Linked DNA regions of Macaca fascicularis. The protein of the gene in region 1 binds, or shares a complex with, the protein of each later gene. Links are inferred from orthologs where the notes say so. Each region holds a gene or a part of one and is shown on either strand. Other genes may lie near its edges.

Region 1 (8,090 bases):
CTGCCTTGCCCTAGAAAGTCCAAAGTGGCATCAAAACACTGCCTTCCAGAAGTCCTGCCTCAGAACAGCCTCTGTTGCAAAACGTGTCACCACAATTGCAAAATATCCTGCTTTAGACCAGAAAGTATCGTTCCCTGCCCAATTCTGTCATGGCGTTTTGGTCTCAGTTCCGAGGAGTTTTCTGACCAGTCAAGATGGGATCACACAGCACCCACAGCGTCACTGCACAGTCCCATCCTTTCTCCATCTGGTAGTGGGAGACTGCCTGGGAGGTGCTGGGTTGCCACTGTCCAGAATCAGGGACAGGTGCTGGCCCCAGTGATACCCTAGTCAACACCCTTCTTCTGGCTCAGCCTAAAAATTCCAAAAATCTGTCGTCTGCACCATCAATGTGCATTTCACCCATGGTTTTTTTCTTTTCTTTTTTTTTTTTTTTTTTTTTTGAGATAGGGTGTCTTGCTCTGTCACCCAGGCTAGAGAGCAGTGCAATCACAGCTCATTGCAGTCTCAACCTAGGCTCAAGCAATCTTCCTGCCTCAGCCTCCTGAGTAGCAGGGACCACCAGTGTGTGCCACCACACCCAGCTAATATTTTTTCTATTTCTTGTAAAGGCAGGGTCTCCTTATGTTGCCCAGGCTAATGTCGAACTCCTGGGCTTAAGTAATCCTCCTGTCTCAGCCTCCCAAGGGCTGGGATTGCAGGTGTGAGCCACTACACCCAGCCCAATTCACCCACTTTTTAGAGAAGATGTTGGGCTCAGAAAGATCTAGTGAACTGCATGTTTGTTGTCAGCTATGAAAATAAAGCAAAAGCATCAAATACTCTGTGAAACAGAAAACAGGTGGACCAGCTGGATAGTAAGTAAAATTCAACCAATCAGAACTCATCAAAGCCTTGAACCCCTGGCTGGGCACACACAGAGGCACTCACACCCAGAGATGAGTGTTCAGCTAGGCATCACAATGTTGTGACTGACCTGTGGAAGTGACCCATCCTGGACCTCAGTGGTCAGCTGGAAATGTGACATCCATGGGTAGTCATGAATAATAAAAAGTAAAATCACAAATTATTGTCATGCAGGAGACGATGTTGTGAAGTGGTTTGATGTTTGGATCCTGGCTCTGGGCAAGTCACTAAGCTACAGATTCTTGGCTGCAGAGGAGGATGATAAATGCAGTCCTGCAGGGTACAGTCCTAGAGATTCTAGGAGGTAGTGTTTATAAAGCAAGTGGTGGCTGGTGCAGAGGAAGTGCTGGTGAAGGGTAAACTGCATTATTAACAAAACTTCTGGACGGGCACAGTGGCCAGATTACAGGGATTACACACCTGTAATCCCAGCACTTTGGGAGGCCAAAGCGAGTGGATCGCTTGAGCTCAGGAGTTCAAGACCAGCCTGTGCAACATAGTGAGACCCTGTCTCTATAAAAAAATACAAAAATTAGCCGGATGTGGTGGCATGCAGCTGTAGTCCGAGCGACTTGGGAGGCTGAGGTTGGAGGGTTGCTCAAGCCCAGGAGGCAGAAGTTGCATTGAGCCAAGATCCTGCCACTGCACTGCAGCCTGAGTGACTGAGCAAGACCCTATCTAAAAACAAAAAATTAAAAAATTAGGGTATGCAAGTAATTTTTTATTTTTTTGAGACAAAGTCCCGCTCTGTCGCCCAGGCTGGAGTACAATGGCACAATCTCGGCTCACTGCAACATCCGCCTCCCGCGTTTAAGCGATTCTCCTGCCTCAGCCTCCCGAGTAGCTGGGAATACAGGCGCGTGCCACCATGCCTGGCTAATTTTTGTATTTTTAGTAGAGATGGGGTTTTACTATGTTGGCCAGGCTGGTCTTGAACTCCCAACCTGAGGTGATCCACTCACCTTGGCCTCCCAAAGTGCTGGGATTACAGGCGTGAGCCACCACGTCCAGCCCCCGACATGTAACTTCTGTTAGCTTCAAAGCCACCTCTGGGGCCCTGCACCAGACTATGAGCTGAAGGACACCCGTGCCTTTTCACCCCTGTAGCTTCAGCATCCTGGCACACTGTCTAGAATGTTCAGTGAATGTGCACGGAAGGGCATTCTGGCTCCAGGGAGTGAGAACTGAGTCAGCTCTGGGAACAGATGAGTCAGGCTGGTGGTCGAGGCATTGCTTTTCAAGCCCTTCATGTGGCTGGAAGAACCAGACAACTGGAACTGGATCAACAGGGGTGATGGCGTGGCAAGAGTTACCCCCGGCAGTGCCCTTCTGGCCTCACTTGCCTTCTTGGGCCAGGAAAGGCAAAGCTCACGGGGCTGTATTTACTGCCCACCCCTTCCCCCATCCCATGCCATTGGCTCTGGAGGGTCTGTGAAACCCTGAGTCTGGAGGAGAACAGTTGACCAGCAGGGCTGGCCCTCAGCATAGTCCTCTCTGTTCCCATTCACCCGCTCTGCCAGCCCCAGATCCTGGCAGGAAGGGAGATTGGAGGGGTTGTCTGGAATCAATCCTAGACCTTCCCTTGCAGACTTGCCCACCTGTCTGTGGTCTAGTGTGGAGATGAGGTCCAGGGTTTGGGAGGGGTGTGGGGACAGATGTCTGCCAAGGCACTGAGCCCTCCCAGCTGGAAAATCCTCTGAACCTGTGAGAAGAGAACACAGCCAGCATGGACACACCCTTACCCTTAGTCTCAGTTCCCACCAAGACACAGAGCATTTCCTGTGCCTTTTCCGCTATTTCACAACCTACTTTTTCTTGCTCACCAAGGTAGAGGCTTCTTCTCCTGCCAGAAGCCAGACAGCTAGCTCCAGCGTCTCCTGCTCAGCGCCATGGCCAAGACCCCTAGTGACCATCTGCTGTCCACCCTGGAGGAGCTGGTGCCCTATGACTTTGAGAAGTTCAAGTTCAAGCTGCAGAACACCAGTGTGGAGAAGGAGCACTCCAGGATCCCCCGGAGCCAGATCCAGAGAGCCAGGCCAGTGAAGATGGCCAGTCTGCTGGTCACCTACTACGGGGAAGAGTACGCTGTGCGGCTAACCCTGCAGGTCCTGCGGGCCATCAACCAGCGCCTGCTGGCTGAGGAGCTCCACAGGGCAGCCGTTCAGGGTAAGCGGGCCCAGGCTGCCTCCTCACCCAGCACTGAGGCCTGGTTGCTTTGTGGGAAAAGGGACCAGGAGCTCAGAGCAGCTCACTCTGACTTGGGGGTCGGGAGTCTCAGGTCTACCAAGATCCAGGTGACTTTAGTTCAGGAACGTCCCTTCCTTCACTCTGGCTTTTGGCACTGGGTTAGTAAACTTCCTTAAGGCTCCCAGTGGGTTTTAAAGAAGCAGGTCAGGGTCAGGAAAGGCAGGAGCTGGAGCACCTATTCTTTGAGACTTCTTCACTTCATTTATGATTAATACTCATGTCAGACAAACATCTCTAGGTTAGCAAAAAGGGATTGCTATGCAATCGTATGAACGGGGCTGGTATAGAATCTTTTCAGTGCTGTTCACCATGTTGGCCAGGCTGGTGTCAAACTCCCGACCTCAAGTGATCCTCCTGCCTCAGCCTCCCAAAGTGCTGGGATTTCAGGCATGGACCACCGTGCCTGGTTTATTTTTATTTTTGAAATGTATAATCTGGGTTTTGCTGACCTGTGTAAGATCTTATTTGAAACAGTTGTCCTGCTTACAACGTTTGAAAAGTACTATTTGAGGAATACATGGTGGCTCACACTTATAATCTCAGCACTCTGGGAGGCTAAAGTGGGTAGATTGCTAGAGCTCAGGAGTTCGAGACCAGCCTGGCCAACATGGTGAAACCCTGTCTCTACCAAAAATACAAAAAAAAGAGCCAGGTGTGGTGGCACACATCTGTATTCTCAGCTATTGAAAAAACAGAAAACAGGCTGATGTGAGAGGATCGCTTGAGCCTGGGAGGCAGAGGTTGCAGTGAGCCGAGATCACATCAGGGCCACAAAACAAGATCCGGTCTCAAAAAATAAAATAAGAGAGAGATAAATATGTAGCAACATCAAGCATGTTCTTACTGAATGGTAATTGACTGCCATTGTCTAGGAAGTCCTGAACTTTTGTTTTTGAAATGGAGTCTCGCTTTGTCACTCAGGCTGGAGAGCAGTGGCGCAATCTCAGCTCACTGCAACCTCCACATCCCAGGCTCAAGCGATTCTCATGCCTCAGCCTCCAGAGTAGCTGGGACTACAGGTGCACACCACCACGTCTGGCTAAATTTCGTGTTTTTAGTAGGAACGTGGTTTTGCCATGTTGGCCAGGCTGGTCTCGAACTCCTGACCTCAAATGATCCTCCCAACTTGGCCTCCCGAGAAGCTAGGATTACAGGCATATGCCACCACGCTCAGCTTATTTTTGTATTTTTAGTAGAGACAGGGTTTCACCCTGCTGGTCTTGAACTCCTGACCTCAGGTGATCCTCCCGCCTCAACCTCCCAGAGTGCTGGGAATACAGGTATGAGCCACCGTGCCCGGCCCGTTTTTTCCTCCATTTCTAAAGTTTAATATCCATGGGGATTCTCTCTCCTCTCCCCTGAATCTTGGGCCCTAAACGTGGGACAGCTTCATGACTTTGTAGCTGGTTGTCTTTCCAGAATATTCCACACAAGAAAATGGCACAGACGATTCCGCAGCGTCCAGCTCCCTGGAGGAGAACAAGCCCGGGAGCCTGAAGACTCCAGACCACCCCGAGGGGAAGGAGGGAAAGGAGGGGAACGGCCCTCGGTCGTGCGGGGACTGGGCTGCCAGCCTGCGGTACAGCCAGCCCGAGGCCGGGAGGGGGCTGTCAAGGAAGCCCTTGAGCAAACGCAGAGAGAAGGCCTCGGAGAGCCTGGACGTGCAGGGCAAGCCTCGAACCCGGAGCCCGGCCCTGCCGGGCGGGAGAAGCCCCGGCCCCAGCCCCTGCAGGGCGCCAGAGCCAGGCCAGGCCGAGGTCCTCCTGCGCAGGAACGCCAGCTCCGCGGGGAGGCTGCAGGGGCTGGCGGGGGGCGCGCCGGGGCGGAAGGAGTGCAGGCTCTTCGAAGTGTACCTGCCCTCGGGAAAGAAGCGGCCTAAAAGCCTTGAGTTCACCATTTCCACAGGGGAGAAGGCGCCCCCAAATCCAGAAACTCTCCTGACTGTAGAGGAAACGACAGCTGCGAATCCGGACTCGGCAACAGGCGCTCAGGCAAGGCCCACTCCGGATGGAGGGGCGTCTGCGGACCTGGAGAAAGGCCCTGGGAATCCAGAACATTCGGTCACCGGTAAATTGTGTTTTTTCCTACTTTATATCGGCTGCAAAGAAAGAACAGCTGGCCGGGCACGATAGCTCATGCCTGTAATCCCGGCACTTTGGGAGGCCAGGGCTGGAGGATTGCTGAGGCCAAGAGTTTGAGACCAGTCTGGTGAACATAGTGAGACCCCCGCCATGTCTATAAATAAAATTAAAAAAATAAAAACCCAAAGGTTGGACAGGGCGCCATAGCTCACGCCTGTAATCCCAGAGCTTTGAGAGGCCTGAACGGGAGGATCTCTTGACCCCAGGAGTTCCATACTAGCCTAGGCAACACAGTGAGACCCCATCTCTACAAAAAATACAATAGTAGCACTTGCCTGTAGTCCCAGCTGCTCGGGCTCACTTGAGCAGGGGGAGTTCCAGGCTACAGTGAGCTGAGATCATGCCAGTACACTCCAGCCTGAGCAACGTAGCAAGATTCCACTTCTACAAAACTAAAAAAAAAAATTAGCTGGGTGTGGTGGCACATGCCTGTAATTCTAGCTACTCGAGAAGCTGAGGCAGGATGATTGCTTGAGCCAGGGAGTTCCAGGCCTCAGTGAGCTGAGGTTGTGCCACTGCACTCCAGCCTGGGCAACACAGCAAGACCCCGTCTCTTAAACATTTTGGGGGGGTAAAAAAAGAAAGAAAGAACGTCCAATTGAAAAAGGCAGTCAGGTTTTATTCAGTGGCCAAAGAATAGAGAAGGGGAGCTCGCCTCTGCAGGCATCTGCTTGCCAGGGATGGGAGGCAGGGGGATTTTAGAGTCCCAGGAGGGGAAGGGAGGTAGGTAAGCAGGTCCAGGGCAGGGTTCCATACATGAAGGCGCTGTCCCCAGCGTGCTTTTTCCTACATCGCATGGACATGAAACCCTGGCCATCTTCTTTTAGGGGAGGGGCCTTTAGCCTTATAATGATGTGTAAATGATCTAAAGGTAACTGGAAGTTACCTGTTCCAGTTTGCACTGGTTTTGCTCTGAACTTCCTCTGGTTTTTGGCAAGGGATCAGGCAGCTCCAGGCCATCTGGATTTTTTAAAGCAGCTGTCCCTATAGGTAAAGAGACCAGAGAAAAACTGTAAAAGAAAAATGCCATCAGTTTAGAGGGGATTGAGGTTGTCCAGGTGACAATTCCATGCTTGTGGTGGGGGCAGCATTCAGAAACACACCTTCTTTTTTTTTTTTTTTTTTTTTTTGACACAGAGTCTCAGTCTGTCTCCCATGCTGGAGTGCAGTAATGTGATCACAGCTTACTGCACCCTCAACCTCCTGGGCTCAAGCGATCCTCCCACCTCAGCCTTCCGAGTAGCTGGGACTATAGGTGCTCATCACCACACTGGTTTTGTTTTTTTGTTTTTGTTTTTGTTTTTTTTTTTTGTACAAAGGAGGACTCGCTATGTTGCCCAGGCTGGTTTTGAACTCCTGGGCTCAAGCAATCCACCTGCCTTAGCCTCTAAAAGTGATAGGTGTGAGCCACTTCACCCAGCCTATGGAACACACTTTCTAATACATTGTTCGCTGGAGAGGAGAAATCACAGCATTCAAAGAGGAAAAATAGAACTGGGGGTCCAGGCCGGATGTGGTGGCTCATGCCTGTAATCCTAGCACTTTGGGAGGCCAATGGGGGCAGATCACCTGAGGTCAGGAGTTCAAGACTAGCCTGCCAACATGCTGAAACCCCATCTCTACTAAAAATTCTAAAATTTCCGGGCGTGGGGGCAGGTGTCTGTAATCCCAGCTACTCAGGAGGCTGAGGCAGGAGAATTGCTTGAACCCAGGAGGCAGAGATTGCAGTGAGCCGAGATCACGCCATTGCACTCCAACCTGGGCAACAAAAGCAAAACTCTGTCTAAAAAAAAAAAAAAAAAAAGATCTGGGGGTCCAGGGACCCCTGAGACCTGGGAGGGAACAGGACGTGGTATACTGCATAAGTCTTCAAATCCAGAAGTCCCTGGGTCTTCTGGTGAGAAAGGACCCTGGGATCTGGAAAACCTAGCATCCTTAGGAATAGTGACCTGAAAAGTACTAAAGTACTTCCCCCCTAATTTTCTTTTATCCCCACTGTATTTTTTTAAATTTTTATTATATATATATTTTTTTAGATATGGGGTCTCGCTATGTTGCCCAGACTGGTCTCGAACTCCTGATCTCAAACAATCCTCCCATCTTTGCCTCCCAAACTGCTGGGATTACAGGTGTGAGCCACTGCACCGGATCCCCACTGTATTTATATAATTGGGATTCCTGGGTGCCTCCTGGGGCCACTTTGTTAATCTGGTGCAGGCTTAGACCCTGAAAAATGCATATATGCACAGCTTCACAAATGTCACATCAAATTTCAGGTAGTTCTTGGACACTCTGAAGTCCATCTTTAGAATCCAAGGGGTTTGTGGACACCAGGTAGAAAATCTGGGGAAGACTGGTTAAAAATACTGCCTCTCACAATAACCTCACAGCAATGTGTCATAATGGGGTTGAGATTCTACCATTTGCCTTTCTCTGAGCAGAAAGGAAAGCCTATTGGCTAAAGTCCTAATTATCTACTGCTGAGGTAGTCATTAAAATTGTTGGGTTGTGAATAATAGAAACACCCAAATAACAGTAACCTGAACAGAAAAGAAGTTTGTGCCTCCTTCACATAAATGATACACAGGCAGTCCCAGGCAGATCCGTGGGCCAGGATCCTGGGGTCCTGCTGTTGCTCTGCTCCACCAAGTTTGTCCTCAAGCTCGTGCTCTCAGAAGGTGACGTCCTCATGCCAGGCAGCAAGATGGAGGAACAGAGGGGAATAGTATCCCTTAGGGAAGGCTCTAGAAATTTCTAGAAGCTGCTTGTGACCCCCCCCCCCTCCATTTACATCCC
Region 2 (7,570 bases), on another chromosome or scaffold:
CAGAGGTTCCGGACTCAGCCCTCGCTGGCTTTCCTTGTCTTCCTCCCCAGTTGATTTTCCTTTTGTGACCAAATTGCTGCCTACACCTGCTCCATTTTACAATTTTCCATTTTCAGACATAGGAGCCTGGGACTTAGCGGTCGAGTCTAGCCCAGCACCCGGGCTTGTCCTGCATCCACACCTCTGACCCCCATCTCCTCTTGGATCTGTGGAGCAGAGGTGGTGGCTCCCTAGGGTCAGCCTTCCAGAATCAAAACTCTGCAGCCGGGCACAGTGGCTCACGCCTGTAATCCCAGCATTTTGGGGGGCCAAGTTGGGGGGATCACCTAAGGTCAGGAGTTCGACACCAGCCTGGCCAACAAAGGGAAACCCTGTCTCTACTAAAAATACAAAAATTAGCCGGGTGTAGTGGTGCGTGCCTGTCATCCCAGCTACTTGAGAGGCTGAGGCAGGAGAATTGCTTGAACCCGGTGCGTGTCTGTAATCCCAGCTACTTAAGAGGCTGAGGCAGGAGAACTGCTTGAACCCAGGAGGTGGAGGTTGTGGTGAGCCGAGATCGCGCCACTGCAGCTGCAGACTGGGCAACAAGAGTGAATCTCTGTCTCAACAACAAAAAACTCCGAGAGACAAGGCGAAGCCAGGTGTGAAGTCAGGTGCACGGGGATGCTGCTGGCTGCCGGTGGGGGAGTTTGGTAGGCGCAGGAGTGGGAATTCCCAGGTCTTCTCATTTCTCTTCACCTGCACACGGTAGCCTGTCAGCATTGTAGCCATCAGGGCGAGGCACAAACTGATTTTTCCCTCCCCTACAAGTGCTGCGACCGAAGATCCCTGGGCAACCCTAGAGAATCCTCTGAACAGGAAGAAAGCCCAGATGACAAGGACTGAGTCACTGTCCTGGAAGGGGAACTCGGGTCTTTCCCAGAAGAGCTCTCCCACGCACTGCCCTCGGGTTCCTTGAAGCAGAACCTTCTGGTGACAGGTGGGCCCCCCCCCCACCGTGGCTCTCCCAGGCTGCTGGCTGCAGGTGCTGCCTGTACCCTGTGTCTGCCCCAGCCTCATCTCTGGGCAGTGGCTGGCTTTGATTTTTTAATCATTGTTTGAGCTAATGGTTTTGATTTTTAAGAGCTGCCTCAGGAGGAGCAGGGGCCATTTGGAGAATTCCTCCTTGAATCTCTTGGGGTCCTGCTTAGGGCTCATTAAACTCAGGCCAGGAAACAGCAGCACCTGCCAACTGGCCAAGGAGGAGCTGCCTGGGTCTACTGAGTAAATGTCTGTCCCTAGAGACAGACACTCACTTACTCAGTCCTTTTTTTTTTTTCCAGAGATGGGGTCTTGCTCTGTTGCCCAGGCTGGAGTACAGCGGTGCATTCATAGCTCACTGCAGCTGCAACCTCCTAGACTCAAGCGATCCTCCCATTTCAGCCTCTTGAGCATCTGGAACTACAGGCACGTGCCATCATACCTACCTGATTTTTTTTCTGTTTTTGTAGAGATGGGGGTCTCACTATGTTGCCCAGGCTGGTCTAGAACTCTTGGCCTCTAGGGGTCCTCCAATCTCAGCCTCCTGACATGCTAGGATTACAAGTGTGAGCCACCACTCCTGGTCCCATTCATTCATTCATTCATTCACTCAGTCACTCATACATTCAACTGCCATTTCCTGAGCACGTCCTGTGTGCCCAGCACTGTGCTACATGCTGACGGTACAACAGTGAGCCACGCAAGTACAGCAGGGGACACGAGGGGACCCACACACAAGCAGATCCCAGCCACTCTGGAACACAGGGACAGGCTTCCCCAAGGAAGTGGCATGTGAGGAGGCTGGAGGTTGAGTAGACATCATACAGGTTGGGATGTGGGGGAAGGGTGTTCCTGGCAGCCGGAACAGTGTGTGCAAAGGGGCTGGGGTGAGTGGGGCTAAAGGGAGCACAAACAGGCCAGCACTTGGAGGGAAGTTGGGAGCAGGTGCAGGTCAAGCTGGGTGGTCGGCAGAGCCAGATCTGGAGGGTACCCGACTGGAGCTGGTGGGCCAACCGGGAGCCTATTGCTGCACCCAGGAGATGGTGGTGAGGAAGCGGGTGGTGCCGGCAGAAGAGAGGAGTGGGGCAATTCCAGAAAATCCAAGAATGGCATTTCCAGGGCTCCACGACTGGGCACTGGGGGAAAGGTCTGTTTCTGATGTCTGGTCGGTTTCTGGCTTCGATGGATAGTGGCACCATGGAAGGATGGTGAGCTGAGAAGAGGCGATTGATTCCCAGGGAGGATGGCAATGGGCATCAGGTACACCCAGGCAGGACTTGCCTTTGTGCTCCCAGGTCCCCCTGCCTCCCTCTGGCTCCGTCCTTCTGCCCTCTACTCCTCTCTGCCCTGAGGACACCTGAGAGCTGAGGAACCCCACTGCCCCCTGGCACCCACACCCGGGGAGGGCACAGGCGAGGCGGCACCTCCTCTGGCTGCCAGGCCATTTCTGATCAGCCTGCATGCCTCTCTCTGGGCAGGGGCAGCTGCTCTGCTGCTCTTAGGGGGTATCTGCTGGGGTCTTTGCCCTCTCCTCTGCCCTGGACACCTCTCAAAAAGGGGCCTCACGTGCCTCTTGGAGCCTCCAGCCTGGGCTCATCTGTGGGGACCCGGGAGACTCAGTCCCTATCTCTGTCCCCCGCTCACTCCCCCAGGCCACCTTGAACAGAGGATCCTGCAGGTGCTGACAGAGGCTGGCTCCCCAGTGAAGCTTGCCCAGCTGGTGAAGGAATGCCAAGCACCCAAGAGGGAGCTCAACCAAGTCCTCTACCGAATGCTAAAGGAGCTGAAAGTCTCCCTCACAGCCCCCGCCACCTGGCGCTTGGGCGGGACTGGTCCTGGAGGCGAGGGTCCTGCAGAGCTGGCCCTGTCCAGCCCTGGTAACTGCCACCCTGGGGAGGTGGGTCTGACCAGGCAGGGACCATCCTGGCAATGGACAAGCATAGATTTGAGCCTGGGTTCGAATCTGAGTTCTGCCACTTGGGAGCTCACGGGTTTCATCTCTGTGCCTTGGTTTCTTTTTCTGGTTGATGGAGCTGACAGCAGGGCTGCTTGGTAGGGGTTGCTGAGAGAAGGCCTTGCATCAGGCTCAGCCCAGCCCTGCACACAGAAAGTACTCAGCGGAACACTAACAATTATAACAGAAAATCATCATGATGGAAACAGCAATGACATGATGGTCCTAATCACAGAACACACTCAGTCCCACCAGCCCCCCTTTTCTAGCTTTACAGCCCACAGCCAGAAAGAGCTGCCATTTGTCATGCACTTAAGATTAGCTGGGCACTGTTTCAGGGTTCACCCAGCCCTCACACAACCCCAGGAGGCAAAGGAGGTTGAGCCCCGGAGAAGTAAACCAGCAGGAAGCCGCAGCTGCCAGGGCACAGGCAGGACTTGATGTCAAGTGTGTTTAACTCTGGAGTCTGAGTTTGCAACTACCGGCGTTGCAGCTCACCCTAGGGTGCTGCCCACCTTTGTGGGGTGGAGCCCTGGTGCTGTTTTCTGTCCCCCACCCCTCTGACCCGTCTTTCTTTCTCCAGCCGAGAGGCCCCAGCAATGTGTAGCTACAGTTCCAGAGACCCCTAGCCCTCAGTTCAGCCAACAGCGGGGTAAGTCATTGCATGCCCCTTCAGCTCCCGGGACACAGGATCCCACTCCTCAGGAACCCCAGGCCCTCCTTGAGGGTACGAGATCTCACCAGTGTTCAGGGGCCCTGTCCCACCCACCAGGTGGCTCCCAAACAGTGTTCAGAGCCAAGACCCAGCCCTGACAGCGGGAGAATCTGAATGTCGAGCAGTGATTTCTCCAGTCAGACAATAGCTGACCCTCACCATGCACCCACCATGTGCCAGGCCCAGGGCAGAGCACTGCGTGCACATCCCCCATCCTCAGGGCACCTCTGCGGTGCGTCATCATGACCCCGTTATCGTGGTGCCCATTTTACAGATGAGGAAACCAGGCCTCGAGGGGCTGGGTCCAGGGCCACACAGCTAGAAAGCGGTGGGTGAGGCAGATGCAAATTCTAGGACTCCTCTCTAACCACGTGGCCGTCCTGCCTCCCAGAGGAAGACATCTACAGGTTTCTCAAAGACAATGGTCCCCAGAGGGCCCTGGTCATCGCCCAGGCACTGGGAATGAGGACAGCAAAAGATGTGAACCCAGACTTGTACAGGATGAAGAGCAGGCACCTTCTGGACGTGGATGAGCAGTCCAAAGTGTGGACGATTTACCGCCCAGGTAGGCCCCCAGCTGCCTGCACCTGGGCTGCAGAGGGAAACCATGACACTAGCGCTTGGTCTTTGCTGGGTGCTCTGCTGAGAAGCTCACCAGAAACTGCCAGAAGCTTCTGGAGGTCCCACTGACAGTTCACTGCAAGGGCTTCCAGGAGGAAGGGGTGTGCTGGCAGGATTAACCAGGAACAGCTTCCTGGAGTCGTGGCCCAAGGGCTGCAGTTGCAGAAGGCCAGCGAATGGGATGGAGGTGGCCCATTCCCAATGTTCTCAGCTCTGAGGTGCAGGTATCAGTCTGGGTTTGGGAATAGTTTTCTTTGAGCACTTTGCCCAAGTTGGGGTTTTAAAGTTGGCAGAAGAGAAGGCAAGACTAGGCTCAGACCCCTACTGGGTGGAGCCCCAGGGTCGTCTTCCCTGTGAGATCTAATAGGCGCAGGGCCAAGATCCAACAGGCCCATGGCACTCTTAGGGGTCCTTGAAAATGTTTTAATTTTAATTTCATTTAAAATCAGAAGAAATGAATACTATAATAATAATGAATATCTAAAAATGGACCAGGCGTGGTCGCTCATGCCGGTAATCCTAGCACTTTGGGAGGCTGAGGCAGGCGGATCACCTGAGGTCAGCCTGGCCAACATGGCAACCCCCTGTCTCTACTAAAAATACAAAAATTAGCCAGGCCTGGTGGCCGGCGCCTGTAATCCCAGCTACTCGGGAGGCTGAGGTAGGAGAATAGCTTGAACCTGGGAGGCAGAGGTTGCAGTGAGCTGAGATCACACCACTGCACTCCAGCCTGGGCAACAAAAGTGAAACTCTGTCTCAAAAGAAAATTAAATTAAATTAAATTTAATTTAAAAATCCGGCCTGGGTTATCCTTGACATACAATGTAATTTAAATATTTGTGTATGGGGGAAGGGCCCACAAAGGCACAGGAGCCGAGACCCCAGAGGGTGGTGATGGGCCCCACACAGTCTGGGCAGGTGCCTGCCTCGACCGCCATAGGGCGACTCTGCTACTCACGATGGGTGTCCGAGGGGGTCTCAGCATCCTAGGGCTGCTATAAGGAAGGAATAATGCATGACAGTCACCAGATTTTAAACACGAGTGACAAATTCAAATATCTAAAATGTCATGGGTGCGAAGCACAACTGATCTGTCCAATGGGCTGCTGTCTCTCGGCCACTACTCAAGGGAGAAGGGCAATGGTGCAGGTGCTCGGGGGTCCGGGCTGTGGCTGCCCCCCAGGGAGAGCAGTGTGGGGCCCCTGCAGTCCTCCCAGCCAGCAATCATGGCGGCCCAGCCATGGGGGCAGCAAAGGACACAGGTAGGGTGACTCACAGGGCTATTTTCAAGCGAGGCTCCCTCTGAGGTACCTGGGGTGTCTGTTAAACACTCAGCTCTGGCCTCCCACTTGGCCCTACTGACTCGGAACGCCCAGGGTATTTTAACAAGCTCCCCAGGAGAATTTGGTGCTGCCCACTGGTATTGGGAACCCCTGACCCATAGAGAGGGGCGAAGGGATAGAGTTGAATATTATTTTGCAGAAGGTTCTGGAAGAAGAGCAGAGTCGGCCTCAATTATTTACCAGCACAATCCAATCAACATGATCTGCCAGAATGGACCGAATGGCCGGATTTCCATTGCAAACTCCGAAGCCATCCAGATTGGACACGGGAACATCATTACAAGACACACAGCCTCCAGGGAGGATGGTGAGTTACCCGAGAGAGCCCGGGGAGGGGACCTCGGTGGGAGGCCACCTGATCCACTGGGTGGGGGCAAAGGGTAGGGATGGGGAATGGGGGAATTCAGCCCTCCAAGGGGAAAGGGTTGCTTCCAGATCCCCACAGTCCACCTTTGTGGCCGTCCTGAGAATGAGGACGCCCGGATCAAAGCTCTCCTGATTTCCCTGTATTCTGATACCTTCTACGTCATTTTAAAATTTAATTTTATTTTTATTTTTTAATAAAATTTTAAAATTAAGATGGGGTAGCTCTGTGTTGCACCTGACCTTGTGCCTCATTTTCAATGGGGTCCGGTGTTTTTCATGAGAAACGACTCAATTTCCTCTCCCTCCGGGGAATGCCACAGGGGAGGTGATCATAGCACAGTATTTGTTCTGAGACACGCAACTTTCCCCCACATTTTAACAGGCTGGAAACTGGGGTGCATCTCACCACCTGTGCCATCCTGGTTTGGATGAAATGCGGTGTTGCACTTTGAGCCCTTACCCTGTGCTGGGCACTGTGGCAAGAGGGAACAGAGCCACCTGTCAGCCCAGCCTTGTCACCTGTGAGTGACAGCTTCAGCCCCAAAGTCGGGACACTCCCTGTAACCTTGGGAGAACCTTTCCCCTCTGTCAGCCTCAGTTTCCCCAATTGTGAAACTAGGAACTTTGTTCTAGAATCTAGATCATAGTTTCCCCAGCTTTAATCCTCTGAGCCCCACATTCCCGATTCTGGCCATACTCATGTCTGATTATTTAATTAATGTTGAGTAGTGCACATTTTTAAAATTTTATTTTAAAACAATTTTATAGTATTATTTTAAATGAAAACCATTAAAATCACCATAAAAATAAATTGTCCCTGGCAGTTAAAACACTGCAGGAGGCTCTGAGCCTTTGGTGTTAGCACCAAAGGAGACTTTGTCTCTATGAGATCAGAAGGCTCGGGAATGACAGAATCAGAACGAGGAGCTCATTGTTTGGGTTTGTGAGTGTCCCTGCAACATCCAGGCACCAGCCCCAGTCCTGAGAACCCAGGGAGCCCCAAAATGAGCTATTCTGCCAGGTACTCTTGCTGTCTAAGCCAGAGCCTGAAGTCTTTGGCCCCCAGTTTGATGGTGTCTAGGAAGAATTCAGAGGACAGGACTGTGGGTGGTGGTGAGGAGGGGGAAGAAGCCTGCAGTAATCTCTGGTGAGGCTGTGCCACTGTCCCCTGCCAGGTTCTACTGGTCCCCGCCACCTCCCTTCAATGGCACCAGGTCATTCCTCAACTCAGGGGACCCTGAATGATCCCTGGGGGCCCCAGGACATCCACATGGAGCGGTCCATGCTCAGACGGGTGCAGCTGGGACACAGCAATGAGATGAGGCTTCACGGCGTGCTGTCCGAGGGCCCTGCCCACAGCCCCCCTGGCAGCCCTCCAGGTAACTGGGGATCTAGAGGCCAGACCCACCCCTGTCACCCCGTGGGTCCTCACTGGAAGGAACTGGAGCCAGAATCTTTGTGGGCAGAGAAGCATGATGGGAAATTCCTTTCCTTCCACCAGGCAGCTGAACCAGAGCAGAGCAGGTGGGGTTTTTAAAGCTAGCACTCTAG
Region 3 (8,291 bases), on another chromosome or scaffold:
TTTTACTTGGCTGTTGAGAAGTGTATTTCCAGTTTAGTTACTGCTGCTTTGTAGATGATCTATGCTTTCTTTTTAACCTTTAATGTTGTTTATTTGTGTTCACTGTTCTGCAGTTTCACTGAGGTATAACTAGAGTGAATTTCTTTATATTTATCCTTTTTGGCACAACTATATTTGTGTATATTTGACTTTTTATATTTGCTCATTTATTTATTTAGAAACAGGGTCTTGCTCTGTTGCCCAGACTGGAGTGCAATGGTGCAATCATAACTTACCATAACCTCCAACTCCTGAGCTCAAGCTCTAACCCTAACCCTAACCCTAACCCTAACCCTAACCCTAACCCTAACCCAGCTCAGCCTCCCAAGTAGCTAAGATTACCAGAACTGGCAACCTTTTATTTTAATTTTTATGTTGTAGAGATGGGGTCTCACTATGTTGCTCAAGCTGGTCTTGAACTCCTGTCCTCCAGTTATCCTCCCACCGTGGCCTCCCAAAGCACTGGAATTACAGGTGTCAGCCACTGTGCCCAGATGGATCCTTGTCTTTCATCAGTTATTGAAAATTGTCAGTCATTTTTTCCTTAAATATTGCCTTGCCCCATTTTTAATTTTTCGCTTCTCTTCTCATGGGATTCCAATTTAACATGTTAGACCTACTCATTCTTTGTCTCTTAACTTTTCTATTTGCTCATCTTTGCTGCATTCTGGAGAATGTCTGCAGATTCATCTTTCAGTACACTAATTCGTTCTTCAGCTATATCTTCTGTTTAACCAAAATCTACAATTTCAATTTTAATGGTTACATACATTTTTCATTTCTTGATGTTTTATTTTTTGTAAATATATCTGGACATTGTTTATGATCTCTAATGCCTTGCTCTTTTATTTCTCTACTCTATTTTTTATTTCTTTAAACATTTTACAATAGCTTCTTTAGTTTCTTTATCTGATTATTCCAAACTCTGAGTTTCCAAATTCCAAGAATCAACCTGTGCCTAGGTCCACCCCCACACCCCCTTGCTGGAAGCTGAGGGTCCTGTTAGGCACTTACTCTAAGGTTCTTCTCCCTGCTCTTCCTTCTTTTAAAGGGGCTGTTTATTTTGAGTCAAAAAGTTGTATAGGCCCTGATACCACACCCAACTTTGTGCTTCACAGTAGTTTATCCCTGATTCTCAGGGTCTCATACCAATCTGAAGAAACCCGGTTATAACACCTTTCCAACTCCTTTTTGCCTGCTTCCTTCAAGTGGAGATACTGAGCCTGGGTTATTCTCTCCAAAAAGAATCACAAAGGGAGTGGCTACCCCTTTTGATGGTTCTCAGCTTCTGACTCTAGGCTTTTCTGAGGACCTGCTACACTTCTTGCCTTCTTGGATTCTGTGTGATACCACCATATCTCTATACTAAAGCCTACTTCAGACGGATTTCATGAACTGTGCAGGTGAGAGCCCTCAGTCCCTATAGGAACCCGATCTCCTCTTTCCTCCTACTGAGTATGGAGCTCCATCTAGGATGATCAGTGCCTTAAAAGAGGCTTAATATTTTTGGTTGTTCATTTATTCATTCAATTCAACAAATATTTATTGGGTATCTGCCATGTATTGGCTTTTAAAGAGACTACAGTTGAACAATTCCCTAAATAGCTCCAAAATAGCATGAGCTGACCCTACCAGAAGCCATGGTGTAGCTCTCCAGGAGTTGTTCTAGAAAAAACTGCTGATCACTTCTGCCTCAACCAGAAGAGCCCATGGACCGCTGAACAAAATGGAAAGCAAGTACCAAGGTGAGCCCCTTTTAGTGAAAGCCAACACACAACCCACAGGGTTGAGTATCCCTGTGAAGGACTGAGTGCCTAGGGCTGGCCCTATCGGGTTCCCACAACCTCCAGTCATGGTCAGACCTCCAAAAGGTAAAATATGGACACCTTTTTTCTGCCCTAAATCTTTAAGACTCTCCATGCTTCTGGGTTATCAAAAGCCTGTGTCCAGAGCATGTGCTTGTCAGGAACATTAATTAGGGTATTTGCATGCAAGAATTGTCATGCAAGAGAGAGGGCAGGAAAGCTCTGAATTGTTTCCACTGCAGTGTACACCACAATGTCACCAACTCGCTGGATGGGCTGGTATATCTAGCCTTACCACAATGCCCTTGGAGTGGGTTTGGGGTCTGCCAGCTCAAGGAGCTCCTGTTCATAGGGCATATAAGTCCCTATGAACATATAAGTCCCAAGGAATACAAATAGGGATCCTTCACTACATCGTTGGATGCTTCACAACTTTCCCAGCCTCCTGCAGGACCAGCTGAGTGGTCCTGCAACCTATGTGAAAACAGGTGAAACCTATGTGAAAACAGCCCTGAAACCTATGATGTGAAAACAGGATAACTTGATGGTTCAGAGCCATTATTTCCATATGGGCTTAGGCAAGGTACTTAAACTCTCAGTGTCTCAGTTTCCTCATCTATAGAAAGGTAATAAAAGCAGTACCTATCCCCTTAGGGTTCGTGTGAGAATTAAATAAGCTAATCTATGTACCTGGTGCATGATAAGTTTTATATATGCATTGGCTATGATCTTAGGGCAGCTATGAGAGAGCTGAGCCCTAAAACCATAAAACCTGCCTAAGCACCATCTCCACTCATGGCCTGGCAGGTGGTGGAGCAGGAAATCCTGTGGGAAAAGAGAAGGCTTTGACTGTAGGAGTGGGTTGATTGTGGGTTCCTGGAAGGTGAGGACCCATTCCCTAACATCCTCAATGCCCAGCCACACCTAACCTGGCCGCTGCATGCGGCAGGCACTCAGGAAACGCTAGTCAGGGAGAAAGACACTAGCTTTCGCTTTGCCCCCTGCCCCACCCCAGGGGCGGGACTGTAGAGGCGCCTGTAAGGGAAGTTGTTCAGTCAACTCAGAATACGGGTAGCAACCCGGAAAGTGGAGTCACCGTCCTGGTCTAGAGACTGATCCCTGCAGAGACAGATCCCTTCCCCTCTCTGCCAAAGACCGCAGCCCCAGAAGTCATTCCATCTCCTACTGCTCGCAATTTCCAGAGGCCCCCTCGCACCTTCCAGCCTGATGTCGTGCGTCAAGTTATGGTGAGTAGGGAGAGGCATGTCGATCGCAGCCTCCGACATTCACACCCAGAGCGCCCCACGGACTCGCTCAGAGAACGCCTTTGAGTCTGGAGACGGTGGGGGCCGGCGAGAGAGGCCGGGGATTGCAGTAAGAGCGCCGAGTCACAGGGGCGCGGGGAGCAGCGCTGGCGTAGGGCACTGCCGGCTAGTGGGCGACACCCCTGTCTCAGGCCCAGTGGTGCCTCCGCCTCCTTGGTGTCCATCGAGGAACTGGAAAACCAGGAGTTCGTCGGCAGAGGCGGGTTCGGCACAGTGTTCCGGGCGCGATATAGGAAGTGGGGCTACGACGTGGCGGTCAAGATTGTAAACTCGTGAGTGACCCCTGTTGCCCCCCCGGCCGCAATCTGGCCAAAAAGGTGGAGCCACTGTGCTCTGGGGCCTGAATGGGGAATGGAGGGATTTTTCCCACGACCCCGGGTGACTCCAGCTCTCTCCTGGAGTGTAGGAAGGCGATATCCAGGGAGGTCAAGGCCATGGCAAGTCTGGATAACGAATTCGTGCTGCGCCTAGAAGGGGTCATCGAGAAGGTGAACTGGGACCACGTGCCCAAGCCGGCTCTGGTGACTAAATTCATGGAGAACGGCTCCCTGTCCCGGCTGCTGCAGCCCGAGTGCCCTAGGCCCTGGCCGCTGCTTTGCCGCCTGCTGAAAGAAGTGGTGCTTGGGATGTTTTACCTGCACAACCAGAACCCGGTGCTCCTGCACCGGGACCTCAAGCCATCCAATGTCCTGCTGGACCCAGAGCTGCACGTCAAGGTCAGCTGCTCTACACCCCTCTCAGCCTCAGGACAAGGTCCCACCCCAGAGCAGCTCCAGCCAGGCCCACTGGACACCAGACCTCCAGAGCCCTGTCTATTGAATAGGCGTAGCCTCTCCCTCTGGACACAGGGCTGCCAGGGCACAAAGCCCAGCCAGGAGTTTTAGCTCCTGCCATACCAGGTGATAGAGGCCCCGACCCACACGAGTCCTTTCCACCAGCTGCCCCACCAACCCCTCCAAAGAGTCATGGCTGACCCAGCCCTGGAGACTCACACCTTGACCCAGCCCTACCACAGGCACCTAGATCTACTATCCAAGGGAGCCTCTTCCCTTGACCTCCACACTCCCTTTACAAAGCTGAACCTGAACCTTCTGGGGGCAAGGGGGTTTCTGGAGGCTGCCTGGCCCCCTTGTCTTCCCTACCTCCCACTTCTTTCCTTCCTTTGCAGCTGGCAGATTTTGGCCTGTCCACATTTCAGGGAGGCTCACAGTCAGGGACAGCATCCAGGGAGCCAGGGGGCACCCTGGGCTACTTGGCCCCAGAACTGTTTGTTAATGTAAACCGGAAGGCCTCCACAGCCAGTGATGTCTACAGGTAAGGATCCCAGCCCAAACACACAGCCGGGATTCCTACACTTCTCTGGGCCCTCCCAGGGGGTGATGTATAGGAAAGGAGTCTTGCCAGTGATTGGACTGGTCCTCAGCTTTGTGTCTCCTGCAGCTTCGGGATCCTAATGTGGGCAGTGCTTGCTGGAAGAGAAGCTGAGTGTAAGACTCTAGGCGGATTCTGGGATCCTTAACCCCAGGTGCCCTTCTCTTGAAAGCCCCAAAGCTTCCCCTTCCTGCTCACCTACTAAGACTGCCCTCCTCCATCCTTGTGCTCCCACATTACACTCCCTGCCTCTTTCCATGATGGAGCAGATATTCCCTTTTACCCTGAATGCCTTCTCTTCTCACCCTCCTCCCCTACTCCAGTGCCAACAGAAGCATCACTGGTGTGTGGAGCAGTGTGCAGGAGGCAGACCCGGCCCTCATTGACTGAGCTGCCCCAAGCTGGGCCTGAGACTCCCGGCTTAGAAGGACTGAAGGAGCTAATGCAGCTCTGCTGGAGCAGTGAGCCCAAGGACAGACCCTCCTTCCAGGGTGAGCTGGCCAATTAGCTGGATCTGGGGTAAGCTTGGGTCTGTCAGCATGGGGCTTTCCTCAGGAAAAGAAGATTTGCTCACCTGCAACCCACTCTGCTGTCCCTCTAGAATGCCTACCAAAAACTGATGAAGCCTTCCAGATGGTGGAGAACAATATAAATGCTGCTGTCTCCACAGTGAGCGCCAACATCACCCCTCTCCAGGAGCTGGTCAGGGATGGCACAACATGGCTACCTGGCCATCCAATGACTCACCATTAACCACAGCTTTTTTATGCCTTGACCTTTGTCCTCACCCTCCCCAGCCCACCCCTGAGTTCCAAGAGACTACTCCCTTGGGTTTACTCTGGCTCATCCAAGTCATACCCAGCAAACTCCTCCCATCCCTGCAGGTAAAGAATTTCCTATCTGAGCTCAGGAGCAGCAATCCGAGATTTTCTACCCCCGAGTCAGGCCAAGGAGGGACAGAAATGGATGGCTTTAGGAGAACCACAGGAAACCAACACTCTCGTAATGATGTCATGGTTTCTGAGCTGCTAAACAAACTGAATCTAGAGGGGTCTCCCAGCTCTGTTCCTGAAAAATACCCGAGCCTTACCAAGAGGAGCAGGGCACAAGAGGAGCAGGTTCTGCAAGCCAGGACAGCAGGGACATCTTCAGATTCAGTGGCCCAACCTCCCCAGACTCCAGAGACCTCAACTTTCAGAAACCAGATGCCCAGCCCCACATCAACTGGAACACCAAGTCCTGGACCCCAGGGGAATCAGGTGAGACATTGGCAGGATTAGGGGATGCACTAAGAGTCCTATAAATGCTGTCCCCTTGCCAGGCAAAACTTGGGGCTGAGAGGAGTGCACTGGGCGGTCCAGGCTCCAGGACAGAACTGGATGCTCTGTGATGTTTGCAGGGCGCTGAGAGACATGGCATGAACTGGTCCTCCAGGACCCCGGAGCCAAATCCAGTAACAGGTACCCACTCTCCACCTCTTTCTTTTCCCTGTTCAATTCTTCCATGAGACTCCTCCTCCAGATCTATATCTAGATTCAGGGTACTTTCTGGAGGCGAGGGGAGAAGATCATCTAACTCAACCTCATTTCATAAATGGGAAAACTGACACCCCCTGAGAAAGGAGCCCTCTGAGGTCACACAACGAAGCTTGGATTTTTCCCTGAGTTTTCTAACTTTCCACAGCATCAGCTCTGTGAGCCCCCTAAGTTCCATTGTTTCAGCAGTCCAGAGGACTTCCCAGCAAAAAAGATCAGGGTCTCAAATGTCAATTGCTACTCTCTAGAGCTTCTGCTAAGCCAGTTCTGGAGAGGAACTCTGAAGGGAAGGGCACAGGACACACCTTAACACAGTCATTTGGGCGACCACTCCACTCAAGGCCAAGCTGGGGGTGGAGACCTCATACTCCCCACCCACCCCCAACTTGGCCTTTCTGACAGCTAAACCCTCCTGCCACCATCACTATTTCTCTTAAAGGGCGACCACTCATTAACTTACACAACTGTTCTGGGGTGCAAGTTGGAGACAACAACTATTTGACTATGCAACAGACAACTGCCTTGCCCACAGGGGGCCTGGCACCTTCGGGCACGGGGAGGGGCTGGCAGCACCCCCCACCAATAGGTTCGCAAGAAGGCCCTGAAGAACCTGAAAACTGGAGCGGGCCACATGGTTGGTATAATCATAGTGGAAAATAAAGCACCTTCAGAGCTTGCCTCCAAGAGTTACGAGTTAAGGAAGAGCGCCACCCCTTGAGGCCCCTGACTTCCTTCTAGGGCAGTCTGGCCTGCCCACAAACTGACTTTGTGATCTGTCCCCCAGGAGTCAATAAACATGATGGAATGCTAGCCAAAGTCTGAGCTCAGCCAGGGGCCGGGAGGGACTGGGATGGGGGTGGGAGCTGCCAGTGAGGGATAGGGAGGCACCACAACTCTGCTATGGCAGGAAGCGGGGATGCTGGGGGCTGGGAGTGGGCAACGGCCTGGCACACAAGGTCAGGGCACAGCCGGCTACAACAGGAAGGAATCCCAGAGGCCTGGTTCCCCAGACCACTCTAATCTCAGGGCAGTGCTTCCTTTAAAGCCTAGGATGGCGACCCCACCCTAACCCTAAACTCTGGGGATAGAGGCTGTGGTCCCTTTTCTTCTGGGCTCTCAACTCAGTTGCAGCGCTCTGGGAAGGGATGAGTGGGTGTGAAAGATCACAGACCAGGCCCCCCACGGTGCCCTCAGGTTCTTAGAGATCATGAGGTCCCATACCTGCCTCCACCACACACTCAGGTTGCTTCCTAGACATTGCTTCCCTTTTGATTCCCAGCTGCTCTTCGGGAGTGGAAAGCTATGGCTCCTAAAGCTATACACACGCGCACCCCCTCCCACGGAACAGTTCAAACCTGGTAGTAGTGGTTGCCAGCCAGGCGGAGAGACGAGGAGAATGAGCGCCCCCCGCTCTGACCTAGATCCCCACCAGGACTCACATTCTTCCCTACATTCTCGCCAGGCTTCAGCCCCCCGCCCTCAGTCTCCCCACTACCAAACGTTCACCCCCATTTGGCCACACCCTATTCGGTCCACCCCAGCCACCCCTTCGCATCTCTCCCAGGGTCCACATTGCCCTTCCCTGAAGGGGCTGAGGCGGGAAGGCGATGGTGTTAAGAGAGACAAAACCAAGTGCGGGAGGAGACCAGGGGAGTCCGGCTTCGGCACAGGAAGGGGCCGGGCTGTCCCGTCGGGGAAGTGGGAGGGGGGCCGCGGCGCCTGGAGGGAAGCTCCTGTCGCCCGGGACTCTGAGCCAGAGCGCAGCGGCGAGCGTGACTCCGCCATCAGGTCCCCGGCTGCCTCCCTGGGCCTAGCCCACTCCGCTGCGCCAGCGACGCGGGCAGTGAGTTCGGGGGACAGGGGAACCCAGGGCTCCCTCGCACCAACCCCAAATCCTGCCCTCCTGGCGATGAAGCTTTGCTAGGGCACCTCCACAATCCGGGCACGAGGGAGGAGGAGGAAAGGACTGAGGGATCCCCTCATAGCCAGCTGGGAGCGGGCTGGGAGGCCGCAGGGAGGGCCTGAAAAAGGAGACGGGATTACCACGAGGTTTGGGGGCGCGGGGAGGTAGCGGCTTGGAGCGGGTTAGAAAAGCTCAGGTGCGGCCCGCCGGGCCGAAGGAGGTAACCCGGCGCCCGGCCCTAGCCAGCCTCGGGACTCTGGGCGGGGGAGATCATGGCCCGCCTCTTCAGCCCCCGGCCACCCCCCAGCGAAGA
Region 4 (7,014 bases), on another chromosome or scaffold:
CAAAGAGAATGATTATAATATCAAGATATTATCAGCACAGTGGTTTCTTAGAGGTAAATAGCGCCTCATGTGTGTTAGATGCTAAATCTGACCAAAAGGTTGATGTCCCGCTGAACATTATCAGAAAAGCTGGTGAAACCCCAAAGATCAACACGCTTCAAACTCAGCCCCTTGGAACAATTGTGAATGGGTTGTTTGTAGTCCAGAAGGTAAGTTTTCATAGCTAATTTCATATTGATTAGTAAGAATAACGTATTTTCCATCTGATCTTAAAGAGACTTTAGAAAAGGTGTTAATGTCTATACAGACAAAATAAAAAAATACAAAGTTCTAAAGAGCTGCAGAGTTAACATGCCAAAATTCATACGAAAACTCAAAAATTGTTTTTATTGTCAAAAATGTCACAATCCTGTTTCAACTTATTCTTATCCCAGTAGCCTCTGAAAAAGGAATTAGTTCGTTCACATAGTTTTTATTTCTGCGTTATTTTTGTACTTTGTCCATATTATCTTTATTTTAAGTGACTATTGTTGTGATTGCAAAATAAGTGTAGTTGAGTAATCAACCAAATTAATTGACCTGAAAAACCAATATGCAAGTCAGGATTAAAGAACTGTGATTAAATGAAGAAAACAGAAGAAAGAGTTAGCTTGAGGAGACTTATTTATTTCTTTCTTTTTAATTAAAAGTAAACTTTAATGTCGAAAATGCAAACTTGGGGAAGACAGAAAAGATCACATACAAGGCTATCACTTCACACTTGGAAGGTTGCACAGCGGCTGGCGCTCCTCTCTTTCCAGACGGTGGGGCGGCCGGGCAGAGGCCCTCCTCACTTCCCAGACGGTGGGGCGGCCGGGCAGAGGCCCTCCTCACTTCCCAGACGGTGGGGCGGCCGGGCAGAGGCCCTCTTCACTTCTCAGACGGTGGGGTGGCCGGGCAGAGGCACTCCTCGAGGAGACTTATTAGAAGTGAGAAATAATAAAGTATTATGACTCTGAGCTTCAGGGAACTAGCCTTGTGGAATGACTTTTTCTGGTCTAGGGCAGGACCTGAAGAACCGTAGAGAGGGAACCTGCTGCCCCTGCATTCAGAGCCTCAGAATAACCTCTGCTGCCTTGGGTTAGTTTTAGAAGGAATTGATAGGAAGACTCTCCAGTCCTCTTGGAAAACTCAAGTGTAAAATGACCTTGGATAGGAAGGTCATGTTCTTTGTCCCAGTTTTCAGCTTTTAATCTGGCCACTAACATATATTGATTTAGTCCACAAAATTAAAGCTAAAATACAATCAATCTCCGAAATAACTGACCAACCTCCTATTTCCTTTTGATCTAGACTTGATTGTGCATTATTTCTTGTCTTTGATTACTTACTAGACTCTCAGCTGGATCTTGCATCATTACCTCATGTCTCTCCTGGACTTGTTGTTTTAAATAGCTGTCTTCAGGCTGGGCACGGCAGCTCATGCCTATAATCCTAGCACTTTGGGAAGCCAAGGCAGGTGGATCGCCAGAGTTGAGGAGTTCCAGATCATCCTGGCCAATGTGGCAAAACCTGTCTCTAGTAAAAATACAAAAATTAGCCGGGTGTATTGGTAGGGACCTATATATAATCCCAGCTACTCTGGAGGCTGAGGCAGGAGAATGGCTTGAACCCAGTGAGGTGGAGGTTGCAGTGAGCCAAGATTGCACCATCGCACTCCAGCCTGGGTGAAGGAGCGAAACTCTGTTTCAAAAAAAAAAAAAAAAAAAATAGCTCTCTTCCAACCCCAGGGTCTTCTTTTTTCCCCTGACTAATCTGGCTACTGGCCCTGGAGAAGCTCCATCCTCTCTATCCAGCAGTTGTTGCTTCTATGGGCCACCCTGGCCTCCTCCTAAAGGAAGGGAGTTTGGGACTGGAAAGATGGGCATAGGAGACAGCATATTCTAAGTAAGACATGTCTGCCTCCTCTGTGTGAATTTGCTAACATCTATTAGATATATACCTGCTAGTTTCAAAGCAGAAACTTTTTCTTCAAGTTGACTCTTGAACAATGTAGGGATTAGGGCTGCTGACCCCGAGCAGTCGAAAATCTGCATATAATTTTTGATTCCCCCAAAACTTAACTACTTAATAGCCTACTCTTGACCAGAAGCCTTACAGACAATATAAACAGTCACTTAACACATTTTTGTGTTATACATGTTATATACTATATTCTTAAAAAGTGAGGTAGAGAAAAATGTTATTAAGAAAATCGCAAAAAAGAAAATATACTGACTATTCATTAAGTGGCAGTAGATCATCAAAGTTCTTCATCACTGTCTTCACGTTAAGTAGACTGAGGAGGAAGGAGGAAGAGGAGGGTTGCTCTTGCCGTCTTGGGGTGGCAGAGACAGAGGAAAATTCCCATGTAAATGGACCTGCACAGGTAAAATCTGTGTTGTTCAAGAATTAACTGTATTTCTTTTTAGAGCCTTCTTCTGGCATGTCTGATGTGTGACTGATGCGGCATTCCTTAATCAGATTATCAGAGGCTGGATGTTGATTTTCTTTTACAGGTAACAGAAAAGAAGAAAAATGTATTATTTGACCTAAGTGACAAGACTGGGGAAATGGAAGTATTGGCGGTTAGAAACGAGGACACCATGCAATGTAAGGAAGGAGATAAGGTTCGACTTACATTCTTCACACTGTCAAAAAATGGAGAAAAACCACAGCTGACATCTGGAGTTCATAGCACCATAAAGGTGGGAACTGCATGGAGCAAAGTCAACTCTCCAAGGGGGTGATATGTTTTGCTTTCTGTCAGGAAGCTGGACTGGAGCCATTGAACAGGATATGGAATGGAAGACATTGATATTTAATACACGTCCATCTCCCAGAACTGAGAAACCTCCCTCTTAGGAAACACGTATTCTAGATACACAGTTAAGAGAACATGGGCTTTCCAAGGCAGAGGCGCATACTGTTATGCACACAGAGCCCAAGAAAGAGCTCCTCAGTAACACTACAAGTCTAAAGCAGAAAGCTTGCCCAGAGTTGGAAAAGTCATTCTGAGTAATGTCTTTGAAAGTAGACACACAATAGATACTTTGAGGACACATTTCCCTAGCCAGTCCCACCACGCCTGCACCTACCATAGTCCAGGGCACTTGAGTCCATGTAAACCCCTACTCTTGACCTTCCACCACACCCTCCTACCCATCTCCTGCCACTAGTTGGTGCTCTTCCCCAAGTCTCAGTGTCGGTTGTACTACCTGCTGTCTCTGTAGGAGTGGAGGCCAAGACTTGAGAAATATGCATATATGACCTTGCTAAGTTGGAGTGTATTTCTCAGGTCAGATATTCACTTTGGGAGTATGATCCAAGACAAACCAATGTATTAGAAGGGTGGGAACAAAATAATTTTATCAGAAGGTGATATACACTTTAGAAGGCCATAGTGACTGCAAACAGAGGAGGGGCCACTTATTGACCGCATCTCAGACTGCATGTTTTTTTTTTTTCTCCATCCAGGTTATTAAGGCCAGTAAAAAAACATAGAGAAATAAAAAGGACCAATTCAAGCCAACTGGTCTAAGCAGCATTTAATTGAAGAATACGTGATACATCTTCTTCAATCAGATTGTAAGTTACCTGAGAGCAGCAGTTCACAGGCTCCTCTCTCCACCAAATTAGGATAGGATAATTGCTGGATAAACAAATTCAGAATATCAACAGATGATCACAATAAACATCTGTTTCTCATTCATTACAGTATCTCATTTAGTTTGTCAATCCCTTGTCTCAAGCAAAAATACTTTATCAATGTATTATATGTTTATACAAATGTAAAAGTAAACTACATGACAACAATTGCACAAAATACAAGAGGGAAGAATTAGGAGTATACTGTTAGAAGATCCTGTACAACATGTGAAGCAGTGCAGTATTATTTGAAAGTAGATACTGCATAATTAAAAATGTATATTTTGTCCCATAGGGCAATGATTTAGAAATATTTTAAAAGGTATATAAATAATAAGACAATTTGTGTTATTGGAGAAAGAATAAGCATAAAGCCTAACGGAAAACTAGAGAGCCAAAACTAGGCTTGTAAATTTACAGTCTATTGATTTTCTACAAAAGTACAAACACAGTTCAATGGAGAAAAGACTAAAATAAAGTACAAGAACAATTAGATACCTGTACTTAAAAAAACAAATCTGAGCCATTCCTCACTCTTTATACAAAAATAAAGTCCAAATGGATCATTGGCTTTTCATAAACATCCAAAACCATAAAACTTCTAGAAGACATGGGAGAAAATCTGTGTGATCTTGGTCTAGGGAAAGATTAAAGATTTTTTAGATATCACACCAGAAGCACAATCTACATAACATAAATGCTTAATAATTTGAACTTCATCAAAATGAAGAACTTCTGTTCTTCAAAAGGTACCATTAAGAGCATTGAAAGGCAAACCATAGATTGTGGCTTAATATTTGTTAGTCACATAGCTGCTGAAGACCCTGTATCCAGGCCAGGCACAGTGGCTCACGCCTGTAATCCCAGCACTTTGGGAGGCCGAGGTGTGTGGATCACCCGAGGTCAGGAGTTTGAGATCAGCCTGGCCAACATGGTGAAACCTTGTCTCTACTAAAATCCAAAAAAAAAAAAAAAATAGCTAGGCGTGGTGGTGGGCATCTGTAATTGCAGCTACTCGGGAGGCTGAAGCAGGAGAATCACTTGAACCCGGGAGGCAGAGGTTGCAGTGAGCTGAGATCACACCACTGGACTCCAGCTTGGGTGACAGAGTAAGACTGTCTCAAAAAACTAAAAGATCCTGTATCCAGAATTTATAAAGAACACTCAAAATTCAATAATTGCAAAACAACCAATTAAATGTTTAAAATGGGCACATAAAAATACACTCAACATAATTCATCTTTAAGGAAATGGAAACTAAAACTACAGTGAGATACCATTATACATTTATTAGAACAGCTAAAATTAAAATAGATTACCCATACCAAGTGCTGACAAAGATTTGGAAAAACTGAAACTGTCGTGCACTGCTGGTGGAAATGTCAAATGGTATAACCTTTATGCAAAAGAGTTTGTCCATTTTTACAAACTTAATACGTATCCACAATGCTAAGGTCTGAGGAGGATACAGAGCCGTTGAAACTCTTACTTATTGCTGGTGGGAATGAAAAGTCTTACAGTCACTTTAGAAAAGAGTTTGGAAATTTCTTATAAATTTAAACATACACTTACCACATGACACAGCAAACCTGCTCTAAGTTTTTTTATCCGCTTGAAATAATTATGTATGTTCACACAAAAATCTGCATGTAAATATTCATGAAAGTTTATTTGTAATTATGCAAAAATGTAAAAAACTCAATTATCCCTCACCTGAAAATTGAATAAGCAAACTTTTGTAGATCCATATAATTGAATTGTACTCAGCAATAAAAAGGAGTAACTACTGACACACACATCTACATGGATAGATCTTTACTCTAAGTGAAAGAAGCCAGACTCAAAAGTTTACATTTTTAATTTCATTTTATGATATTCCGTAAAGGGCAAAAGTATAGTAAAGACTAGATCAGTGGTTTCTAGGAGCTTGGAGTTGAGAGGAAGGCTGGCAACAAAGCAGCAGGAAGGAAATTTTTGTCATGATGAAACTATTCTCTATCTTAACTTTTGTGGTAGTTTCATGACTACATGCATTTGTAAAAATTCACAGAAATTTCCATTAATAAGAGTAAGTATGGTTGTTTGTAGATTATGCCATGATAAACATGGAAAACATGCATCAAGTTGGAAGATAGAATTATGGATGTTTTTGATATTCTGTTGTTTTTTTTATTTCTCTGGAAGAAATACCTATTGCTTTTAAAATAAATAAGAAAGATGACACTTTTTAAAGAGACCCACAGAAATCAGGGACTTTAAAACAATGAATATTCCTTATCCATTAGGTTAATAATGTCCAGGATTTGTGAATGTGATGATGATATGATTAAGGAAAATGTCCTCAGAAGTGTTAATTGAAATATTAGTTTGGCAACATTATTAGTAATTATGCTCATATTATTTGACCCAGTAATTCCACATACAGGTATTTAACCTAAAATGTCAGCTTTAGCGCTATTGCATACCTTAAAACCACTTGGTACAAACTAGTCTGTAAAATGTTTATGAGGACAGATTAACATCTCTATGAGTTGTTCTGTCCTCTCTGGTCTATACACTACAGATCTAGGGGAAGCTCCAGCTTCTCATCTACTTGATTTGAGTCCCATGGAGAAGCTCTGGTATGTGGTAAGGTGGAAAAATATGACACAGTGCAGTCAAGGCATCAGAGGATGAAGCTATTTAAGTGAAAACAAAATTGAAGAGGCAAATTATTTTGGGCAGAGAGTAATGTTTTTCTTATTTCATTTAAACATAGATTGTCCTTAGAAAGTAGTTTGAAGGGGAATCAGCATGGTGTTAAGGAAAGCAAGCAAAGGCTGGGATGTAGTAGCCCTCTTAAATGACACTAACTCCAAATCACCATCATCCACATACTCAAGAATAGGCAATTACAGAAAGCTTACATCAAGTGATATGCATATGAAATATTAGACTAGCTGAGAATACAAACATCATCTGTGTATAAAGCAGTCCTTTTCTTAGTGTTCATTAAGTCAAATTTGAATTTAGAGGCAGTTTTAGCAGTCTATGACATCTTAGGATGATGTCTGTTCCTTACTAGCTGAGTGATACTGTGATTTTCACCACTTCACTCAATCTCTCTGAACTTCAGTATTCTCACTGTAGGTGAGAAAACTGACTTCTGTAGCATCTGAAGTTTCTTCAGAATCTGGTTTCCCAAAATGAGCAAAATAATCTTAAACACATATACACACACATATACATACACAGATATGTGTGTGTGTGTGTGTGTGTGTGTGTGTGTGTGTGTGTGTATACATATTAGAATAGCATTGGGCAAAAAAATATAAAAATGTCTAATTGGCATCTAAGCCTACTATAATG

Evidence for each region.
Region 2: MEFV (region 1) and ZBP1 share a complex: the UniProt entries of both Homo sapiens proteins name them as parts of the AIM2 PANoptosome complex. The link is inferred for Macaca fascicularis from reciprocal best matches to the Homo sapiens genes MEFV and ZBP1.
Region 3: MEFV (region 1) and RIPK3 share a complex: the UniProt entries of both Homo sapiens proteins name them as parts of the AIM2 PANoptosome complex. The link is inferred for Macaca fascicularis from reciprocal best matches to the Homo sapiens genes MEFV and RIPK3.
Region 4: MEFV (region 1) and AIM2 share a complex: the UniProt entries of both Homo sapiens proteins name them as parts of the AIM2 PANoptosome complex. The link is inferred for Macaca fascicularis from reciprocal best matches to the Homo sapiens genes MEFV and AIM2.

The regions. Positions count from the first base shown.
Region 1 is NC_088394.1:4,045,599-4,053,688, reverse strand, and holds the start of MEFV (pyrin), read left to right. Parts: upstream 1-2,735; 5' UTR 2,736-2,795; coding exon 2,796-3,072; intron 3,073-4,572; coding exon 4,573-5,220; intron 5,221-8,090. UniProt on the Homo sapiens protein: Involved in the regulation of innate immunity and the inflammatory response in response to IFNG/IFN-gamma.
Region 2 is NC_088384.1:113,677,271-113,684,840, reverse strand, and holds part of ZBP1 (Z-DNA-binding protein 1), read left to right. Parts: intron 1-490; exon of another isoform or gene 491-641; intron 642-810; exon of another isoform or gene 811-979; intron 980-1,322; exon of another isoform or gene 1,323-1,458; intron 1,459-1,784; exon of another isoform or gene 1,785-2,672; coding exon 2,673-2,897; intron 2,898-3,557; coding exon 3,558-3,626; intron 3,627-4,080; coding exon 4,081-4,254; intron 4,255-5,792; coding exon 5,793-5,960; intron 5,961-6,401; coding exon of another isoform or gene 6,402-6,451; exon of another isoform or gene 6,452-6,563; intron 6,564-7,194; coding exon 7,195-7,398; intron 7,399-7,570.
Region 3 is NC_088381.1:92,151,108-92,159,398, reverse strand, and holds RIPK3 (receptor-interacting serine/threonine-protein kinase 3), read left to right. Parts: upstream 1-2,906; 5' UTR 2,907-3,071; coding exon 3,072-3,091; intron 3,092-3,300; coding exon 3,301-3,441; intron 3,442-3,575; coding exon 3,576-3,885; intron 3,886-4,337; coding exon 4,338-4,483; intron 4,484-4,609; coding exon 4,610-4,656; exon of another isoform or gene 4,657-4,694; intron 4,695-4,863; coding exon 4,864-5,031; intron 5,032-5,141; coding exon 5,142-5,209; intron 5,210-5,424; coding exon 5,425-5,799; intron 5,800-5,939; coding exon 5,940-6,000; intron 6,001-6,514; coding exon 6,515-6,735; 3' UTR 6,736-6,885; downstream 6,886-8,291. Other genes in the region: ADCY4 (adenylate cyclase type 4), read left to right, coding at 7,472-7,918. UniProt on the Homo sapiens protein: Serine/threonine-protein kinase that activates necroptosis and apoptosis, two parallel forms of cell death. Necroptosis, a programmed cell death process in response to death-inducing TNF-alpha family members, is triggered by RIPK3 following activation by ZBP1.
Region 4 is NC_088375.1:102,021,408-102,028,421, forward strand, and holds the end of AIM2 (interferon-inducible protein AIM2), read left to right. Parts: coding exon 1-209; intron 210-648; exon of another isoform or gene 649-958; intron 959-1,400; exon of another isoform or gene 1,401-1,557; intron 1,558-2,257; exon of another isoform or gene 2,258-2,528; intron 2,529-2,537; coding exon 2,538-2,726; intron 2,727-3,495; coding exon 3,496-3,522; 3' UTR 3,523-3,730; downstream 3,731-7,014. UniProt on the Homo sapiens protein: Sensor component of the AIM2 inflammasome, which mediates inflammasome activation in response to the presence of double-stranded DNA (dsDNA) in the cytosol, leading to subsequent pyroptosis.